Daphnia pulex: one gene and its partners. The main gene of each other region encodes a partner of the protein of the gene in region 3 in a complex. Links are inferred from orthologs where the notes say so. Each region holds a gene or a part of one and is shown on either strand. Other genes may lie near its edges.

What was found. The genes of interacting proteins can lie anywhere in the genome.
Region 1: mediator of RNA polymerase II transcription subunit 16-like (region 3) and mediator of RNA polymerase II transcription subunit 19-like share a complex: the UniProt entries of both Drosophila melanogaster proteins name them as parts of the mediator complex. The link is inferred for Daphnia pulex from reciprocal best matches to the Drosophila melanogaster genes MED16 and MED19.
Region 2: mediator of RNA polymerase II transcription subunit 16-like (region 3) and mediator of RNA polymerase II transcription subunit 7-like share a complex: the UniProt entries of both Drosophila melanogaster proteins name them as parts of the mediator complex. The link is inferred for Daphnia pulex from reciprocal best matches to the Drosophila melanogaster genes MED16 and MED7.

The regions. Positions count from the first base shown.
Region 1 is NC_060023.1:10,280,182-10,283,366, reverse strand, and holds mediator of RNA polymerase II transcription subunit 19-like, read right to left. Parts: upstream 1,729-3,185; 5' UTR 1,512-1,728; coding exon 1,307-1,511; intron 1,266-1,306; coding exon 994-1,265; intron 929-993; coding exon 584-928; 3' UTR 501-583; downstream 1-500. Other genes in the region: MAP kinase-activating death domain protein-like, read left to right, coding at 32-118; required for excision 1-B domain-containing protein-like, read left to right, coding at 2,470-2,555, 2,622-2,820, 2,882-3,058. UniProt on the Drosophila melanogaster protein: Component of the Mediator complex, a coactivator involved in the regulated transcription of nearly all RNA polymerase II-dependent genes.
Region 2 is NC_060019.1:10,647,734-10,650,396, forward strand, and holds mediator of RNA polymerase II transcription subunit 7-like, read left to right. Parts: upstream 1-1,244; 5' UTR 1,245-1,380; coding exon 1,381-1,566; intron 1,567-1,623; coding exon 1,624-2,094; 3' UTR 2,095-2,163; downstream 2,164-2,663. Other genes in the region: tyrosine-protein kinase Btk29A-like, read right to left, coding at 1-248, 362-629, 719-880. UniProt on the Drosophila melanogaster protein: Component of the Mediator complex, a coactivator involved in the regulated transcription of nearly all RNA polymerase II-dependent genes.
Region 3 is NC_060021.1:615,806-618,248, reverse strand, and holds the end of mediator of RNA polymerase II transcription subunit 16-like, read left to right. Parts: coding exon 1-150; intron 151-1,414; coding exon 1,415-1,521; intron 1,522-1,594; coding exon 1,595-1,855; 3' UTR 1,856-1,943; downstream 1,944-2,443. UniProt on the Drosophila melanogaster protein: Component of the Mediator complex, a coactivator involved in the regulated transcription of nearly all RNA polymerase II-dependent genes.

The DNA of each region.
Region 1 (3,185 bases), on a different chromosome or scaffold from region 3:
CAACCTTTTTTTGTTCTTTTAAACAAAACAGGCGGATCAGATTTGTTACGCTGTTCTCTGCGTGTTTTCTTACGTGGCCGCCGGAAGCGAACAGCGTAAAAAGGTTGAGCCGACTTGAAAGCTCATCATCAATCGACCAAGCAACACACACCGGACATCACTTGATTCGCTTGTTACTTTTAGTTGTTGTACTTAAATGATTACTCGTTCGTTTTGTCGTACGAGTCGTCGCAATAATAATTATCTAGTCATGGTACGGTTCATCAAGAAATTTGAACCAACAGCAGTTGACAAATTTGCGTTCGAACATTCACTGTTAGTATTTGTAATTAATGAATATAAAGTTGTTTTACCCTATTGATCATATCATTTGAGCGATTGTGACTTGCGTGTAGCTATCGTGACGTGCTTATCATTGTTTTCGGGCAAGCCAACGCTATAGCTTTCAAACTCCGATTTAGAAGAAAATATTTGAAAGAATGAATAATAATAAACCAAAATTCACTCATTGAATGGAATTTTATTTATACTCTCGAAAGAAGCAGAAAAAATTCGAAATAAATCGACGTGACAAGAAGGTTTCTCAAAGTAAGGGCATCATTCCAGGTGGGTTACTGTTTGAATTTGTAGTACCGATTGAGGCTGATGCTCCTGGGTGTTCTGGACTGTGCTTCTGTTTCTTTTTCTTCTTCTCCTTCTTCTTCTTCTTGCGATCTTTCTCATCTTCGTGTCGCTTTTGTTTCTTATGCTTTTTTTCGTAGGATTCACCGCCCGAACCGGCTCCTCCCTCTCCTACTACTCCAATGCCCGGTCCAGCGATTCCAGCTCCAGTTTCTTGAATTGAGATCTCGCTACTCTTTTTGTGTTTCTTGTGTTTCTGTTTTTTCTTCAGTGGGGCCAGGGAAGAGGTTTGATACTGCTCAGGCAACTATGAAATAAAGATGTGAAAATTAAAATAACAATTATGTGATTTGCTGTCTAAAAGTCTCTTACTGGTCCTGGATGAAGACGGAATCCTGCAAGTTGAGAGGAATTCAAGAATACCAACTCCTTGCCACCGATTGGAGGTTTTTCAATGATGGATCTTAAGGATGAATTGTCTGTGTTACCAGGAGTATCAATCATGCCGGGTAATCCAGGTAAGAATGAAGATAGCGAATCTTTGAACTTTTTGCCACTGAATTTGTTGTATGAATGTTCCAAATTGTAGTGAGCCATTAAATTTGTTGCTCCGGTTAGGTCAGTATCTCCTGCGATAGATTTACCTTGAGTGAAAGAATGATACAGTCACGTAAAATATGTATACCTGGCAGTTCCTTGTGAAGATAAAATGGTCCGGTATGAACAATTGTTGGGGTCTTTCCAAGTGATATGGTGGTTTTCAGTGTTCCAGTGGAATCTTGTTGCCTGGGAACAACTGGGCTTCGATTTCCTCTTGGAGAAGATCTTGGAGAATTCGGCTCAAATCTCCGAAGAGAATCGGCCACTTGGATGGTGAATGATTCCGACATTTTTTGTCAAAAACTTTTACCCTTTTTACTCGTTAGTATGAGGTCATCGCTTGTAAAATCTCCGTATCCGACTAGACTGACCTTGGTCGAATCCGATATATCGTAGTAATTATAGATATTAATAAATTATTCAGGCAAATGTTGGATGCCAAAAATGACAATTGACAGAGTAAACACAGCAGCGAAAAAGCATAACGAAACACCAGCGCCACCTGTACCCAAAAGATATAACTAGATGCTCCTCTATGCAAATATTTTTGCCCGAGGACTTGAATTGGCCAAGTTGGCGAGAGCACGCTTTCAAAAGTCAAAAAGTCACACGAGGTTTAGACTCAGTGGCAGTTGCTAGGGTAGATAGTTTTGTGTCCGCCTCGTGTGATTTAATGGTGAGTTTAATCACAATTTTTTTCAATTTCCGTCTGGTAATAGTATCAAACTGTTGATGTATATTTTATTATTCATGTTATCAAAAAATATCTATCTAGCCAGAGGTCGAATTCAACTTTCGAATTCGAGTTCGGCGTCCTTCAATAGTCTCAAGAAAAGTCAGAAAACTGGCTGAAGGCAGAGGCTGTTTTTTAAAAAATCCTTATCTCATACTCCCTAGTGTATTGTAGAGGGTTTTTTAAAGGCCAGACTCAGCTTTTCCAACCCAGTAACCCAGCCCTTTTTTTGTCTGTCTCAGAATTGACCCTAGGGGCGTTGATGAAAGGACCGGGTCGTCACCCTTAAAATATAGTCGTCCTCTTTATTCTGGAACCACAAGTCGTGATGTTACGAGGATAGAAAACCTACCTTCGCAACCGTGATAATAAGAACTCTGTTTCTCCAAAGGTAATTATTTGTATAACCTAGGCTTATTTCCTTTTAAATATACAATACAATTCGTATCTTTTCTTTACCTAGATCGTTCATTCCGTTTTGTTCGTTACACGTTAGTAAAATTATAATTCTCAACATGGATGGAGTCACAGCTTATGGCCTTTTGAGGAAATTCCAGCAATTGCAAGAGGAAAGGGTCCACACCTACAAGATTTTTCATGAGTGAGTTACAATGTTATTTAAAAAATTTCACATGAGGTAATTTTTGCATGTATTGTTTCTTTCCAGAGGGCATAAGATTTATCTGAGCACTGGACCAAATTATGACTTTATCCAGTTTCGTACACTTGTTCAAGACATAACTCAAGACTTTAAGCGAATCTCAGAAGAAATAATTAAAATTGAGTGCCAATTGAGAAACATGCAGCCTGAACTGACATTGCATGTTATCAAAGTGCAGGATTATGAGAAAAGGCAGCTGGAACTGGTAAAAAATTATTAAAGATTAAGATTTAAAGATTTATTAAACTTGTTGATTTTCTGTTTAGATGGCTCGATTGCAATTGGCTAAACAAGAGTTGCAAGACATGCAACATATTGAGGATGCTGAAAATGACATTCTCATGCGTGAAGTGCATCACTTGAAGAAAGAATTGGCTGTGGTTCAAGACAAGATCAATCAAAACATGGAAGCTGTTTGTTACCAATTGGCTGATCTGATGTAATTTTTATTTTCATCACTGAAGATTATTCTCTTCCCATATTTGCATTAACCTGTTGACAATCTAAAGAAATACAGCATCATAATGCTTCTAACTAAATGTTGCATTCTTAGTTTTCTATTTAACATAT
Region 2 (2,663 bases), on a different chromosome or scaffold from region 3:
CATGGCCGCCTCGACTTCAGCCCCATTCGCAGGTTTAGCGACAGGACTTGGTGAGGGAGACGGATGGTGGATGATGTTACTGAAATTGATGCCCATGTGTTGAAGTGTATTGGGAGCCCAAGTTACAGAACGGCAACCGTTTATTGCCTTAGACGTGGACCTTTGGGTTGATCCACAGCAAAGATAACTTCTATTCCCCCACAGGGCAGGGTGATACACATTCACAAGAGGAGCACTGTCTTTGACCACTATCAGGAGAAAAATAAAATAAATTATTAGATGAGATAAAATGAACATGTGAGATAAATACTGCTATTTGTCACACATAACTACTTGAGACGTCAAAAGAGAATGTTCTCACCAACTCGGATATTCCAAAGCCAGATATCTCTTTCTTGCTGAGTGGGAGTGAAAATGCAAAGAGTCAAGTCTGTTGCACTACAACCTTCATTACACTCATAAGGATTGTACACTATCTGAAAAGCAGGAGATCCCTTCAAATCACTCGGAATGGAACCTGTAAGGTTTGCCAATGGACCGATGGCAGGTGTGTCAGGTGCTGGATCAACAGCTTCCACAACTTTCACTGTTTGGAGGTCGACACGTCCCTTTTCTTTTCCTTTGCGATTCTGTTGTTTGGAATTGATGGTTGTGATGAATTAGTGATGAAGGGATTCACGAACACAGTCCATGCGTGTTTAGTAGAACTAAACCTTACCTCGCATTCGCCCTCGTAGTAGGCGAGGAACTTTGTGGTAAGGACGAACCATCGACTCTTGTAGTTGATCAAACTAAACCTCTTCTTGTTCTGTGATCGTTTCACTAAATTGCCTTGCTTTTTTACCTCACCTGCAAGAGGTTTGGCAGAGCTTTTAAACATACTTACAAAACGATCACTAATCAAAAAAGTAGTCCCCACTTGATAAAGCTGTTATAACTTCGTTCATTGTCTTTCTCCCTGGACCCTGGTACGAAGAGAATGAAAGCAGGACGAAGAAAAAGCTCTCCAAACCTCTCTAAATACTGGCAACTCGGACAGATCTAGCGGCAGTTGCCGACAACTATTATCGGATTTAATTTCCTCCGAAAATTAGCGATAAAATCGAGGAAATATACATTTAAAATAAAAAAATAAACAACGATTAATTGATTTAATGACAATTTAATGTAAAATTGAATTCTTTTACAACATTCTAAATCAAATTTGTTTCCATTCAAGAATGGCGTGTCGGGACAGCCACAAAAAGGAGAACATTGATCAAAAAATAGTCTGCTGAAATCCCCAAGCAAACGAACTAGAAAACGTCACATTCTTCATTCTTGAAAACAAACTATATTGTTTACATTACTATATTGCTTCATTCCAGTGGGAAAGTAAAAATGTCAGAAACGGCTCAAGTTAGTTCATTACCTTTGCCACCGATGCAATATGTCAGTCTTTTTAATGAAGAAAACGCTAAAAGAGGAAGAACACCGAGACCACCTCCTCCGATCACAGACAATTATTCCATGTTTGGTAATCCATATAATACTGATGATGCTGTGATCCGACCTCTTGAAAGCCAGGTGATAGAAGTTTTTTCTTAATCAAAGCTTTCTTTAATACTCGTTTTACTATTCCAGAATATACGACGTCTGTACCCTAATAACTATGACCACAGAAGAGAACTGAAAAAGCTCAATCACTCCATCACTGCTAGTTTCCTTGACTTGGTTGATATCTGCATACGAAATCCAGAGTCTGAAGCAAGAGCCACAAAAATTGATGACCTCACTTTGCTTTTCATTCACATGCATCATCTGGTCAATGAATTTCGGCCTCATCAAGCAAGGGAAACTCTTAGAGTTATGCTAGAACAACAAAAACGACAAAGATTGGAAATTGCAGAGCGTTTCAGAAGACATTTTGACAAAGCTTGGGAATTGGTTCAGCAGGCTGTCAACACAATTCCTGAACCAACTGAAGGCAACATCAAGCTCCTTATAGATGTTGAACGGGTTCAACCTTCAGAAGGCAATGCAAGCAACCAAACTTCTGGGAATGGGTGTACTGAGGAGGATCGTGTTCTGTGTCAAATGATTGATTCTTTGTGAATTCTGTGTTATTTTATGTTTATTCAAAGTGGAAAATACATTCGATCTACTCGCCTTTCTGATGTAAAATAGTCTGCTGTTTTATTTTTAATCGTTTTGGGACAAACATAATCTCGGTGATTTATTTTTTTTTAAGAATTTTTATTTTAAAATAATTATTGCAATAGATTTTTCTATTTGTATTTTAGTTGATAAATGTTGATGATCCACCTAAATTAAACATCTAGATCAAATTGCAACGTTGTTTATTCGTTTTAGTCCGTCTGCAGTCGCTGTAACATATTTTTCCTTCAAATTTTTCCTCTTGAAAGTTGATTCGAAACAACAATACCGTTGAAGTTAATTCTCTGCTTTTGGTAAGTGCATTGCTGTTAATTTAACTGTATATTGAACCGGTCTATCGATAGTTATTAGTTTTATCATTTCGCCTTGCAGGTAACATTCAATTGTTATAGCCAAAGCAAGTTTTTACACGTGATCATCTTTCGTTAGTAGAGTAAATTTTAAAATGACTGAAAGAAAAGTCAGCCCAGTTCCCGTCTATAACAATATCCTAATGGAACAATTTT
Region 3 (2,443 bases):
AACTATTGGTCATATTCAGGATTTGGGGCTTGATTCGTCACTCGTGCTTGCCTACTTTCAGCTACATGGAGAACGTTGATGTCATTGCCACACTGTTTCGCATTCTAACTCGACTTCTTCAAACATCAGAACCTGATGAAAGCCTTTTAGGTAATATTTATTCAAAATTTTTCCTCAAGAGATTGTTGCTGCACCGACAACGGTTGTCAGGTTTAAGTTACAAATCAGTGGTGGCTGTGGTTAACGCCAGCCACGTCCGGAAGGATCGACCACTTCCTTGCTCGATAAAAATTCGTTTCTCGTAGCCCAGAAAATCAGAATATATTTTTCTCTAGTCGTGACTAGCAGGTGCTCCCCTTTAAGACCCATATTTAAACATCTCTTGGAATTCTTGGCGAGCAAATGGGCTTCATTCGCAGTTTATTCATTGGCACGAGGCCTTTTTGGACCGTTGGTGTTCCTGTATTCACATTAGTTTTCTTTGTTACTTACTGGTTTGTTTTGTGTCCGGCTATTTGGAATCGCTATCATTTAGTCGGTAATGATCGTTCCGAGTTTAACCTTTGGCTCTTTGCATACTGGGTGGTTGCAGCCGCAATATGGGCGATTGTTTTCTTCGTAGCGTATTATTTGTGGAAGAAGGAGAAACAAGTTGACAAAAAGAGTGATTCGGGATTTGATCAGCACCTTTTATCTTCTCAACCCAACAAGACGACGATCCCACTTAGCTTTAATACGTTACCAATCCAGCCTAAATATTACATCCCTACTGAGAAAATCGATAACGAAGTCACAACCCTTCAGTCCTTCACACCTCGTCAGAACCAAATGATTGAAGCCGAAGTTACGTCTAAACGCGTGCAACCGCTAACGTTGAAAACTATGCCCCCGTCTAGACCGTCGGAAAGCGATTTTACATGGGACACTGAGGACATTTCTTGGATGAGTGAAAACGGTGACATCACATCGCCATCGTATCTGATAAGCATCGCAGAACGAGACTTGGAAATCACTTTGGAAATCGATTCTGTAGCTAGTAGCCCTCAGCCTCCCGAAAGCGAAGATTCGCAAGAAGATGGTGAACGCCAATCTCTTGGGATTGAATATCGCTCGGATTTTTATCAACTAACGCCGACCGGATCTCCTCCTGATTCGCCTTCATTCGCAAATCCTTCTTCTGGTGTAGAAAACCCCGCATTAGAAATGGAAGATGACGATACAAGTGACATTAACTTGACGAAATCTGAATGAACTTTCATTTTTCGGCATCAGTTTGTTATTCTTTCGACTTTGGATTGTTCTAGTGTCTCTTTCCCGGAGTGCCGATTATGCAAACTGTGTTTTTGTGTCATTCAACGTGTTTTCAGTGTGTTTATTTGCTAATTTATTCATTTGTGCGTGCCCATACTTGTAGACGAATGTTGCCAACTTTCGAGTCAACTCATTATTCCTGACATTGGGCTCTCGTTGCCAGCGCGTGGAATAGCCAGCCCTACTTTGTTTAATCAGCTACCGTTACAGGTACGATACAAGTTTCTTTTTTCCCAGTTTCCATTAGGATTGTCATCCTTATTTGTTGTTTTTGCAAATGCAGTACGAATACGGAAGCCATCCAGAAGAGCCCAGTTCAACCAAGTACGACGGCGTCGAAGGCGAGAGCAAAGTCGACTCGATTCGCCACGTCTACCTTGGTTCGAAACCGCATAATGTTCGCTACTGCTCGCGCTGCAAGGGCATCAGCATCGTCGTTAAGGGGTTGCGGGTGGGTCGATCGAACGCTGCCAAATCGTGGGACATGCGATGGCAGATGTCGTGCATATGTCGCGGGAAATGGAGCCGACAAGAAGTCCAGTAATTTGTAGTTCATTTAAACGCGTTTGTACGGCTGTCAATTTTTGAATTCCATTTCGTGGTTGGATATCATACACTCTCATGCACAATTACTAATTATAATGGCACAATCGAATATGTCTTTATACTTAAAATAACGTAGATACAAAAGAAAGAGGTGTAATAGCGTAACATTGTCTTGAACCCATCAGCCAACTTTGTGCTTTTGTCCACCACCAACAACTTACTACTTGCCGTTGTAATAGTAACGACGTTAACCTCGCTAATTAAGAGATGGATGGAGCGCGGTTATGTGTCAAAAAGTGTTACTCCTCGAGATGCTTTCAATGTAATATTAGTTCAGTTATCATTTAGGATCATTCGGTTTTATACGGACGTGGTCTTAACATTACTGGTTACCTTTATAATAATATTATCGGTATAATTTGCACTTGTTTTCTGATCAGAGTGGGCGGATAAAGGATTCTCTTCCGGTGACGCGGTAGTAATGCTGGGATACTATAGGTCTAAATAAATTTGTTGTTTGCTTAAGATAACTGGAATTATCTATTGCGTAGTTGACGTTGGGTGGGCGGCGTAATAACTTTCCTGT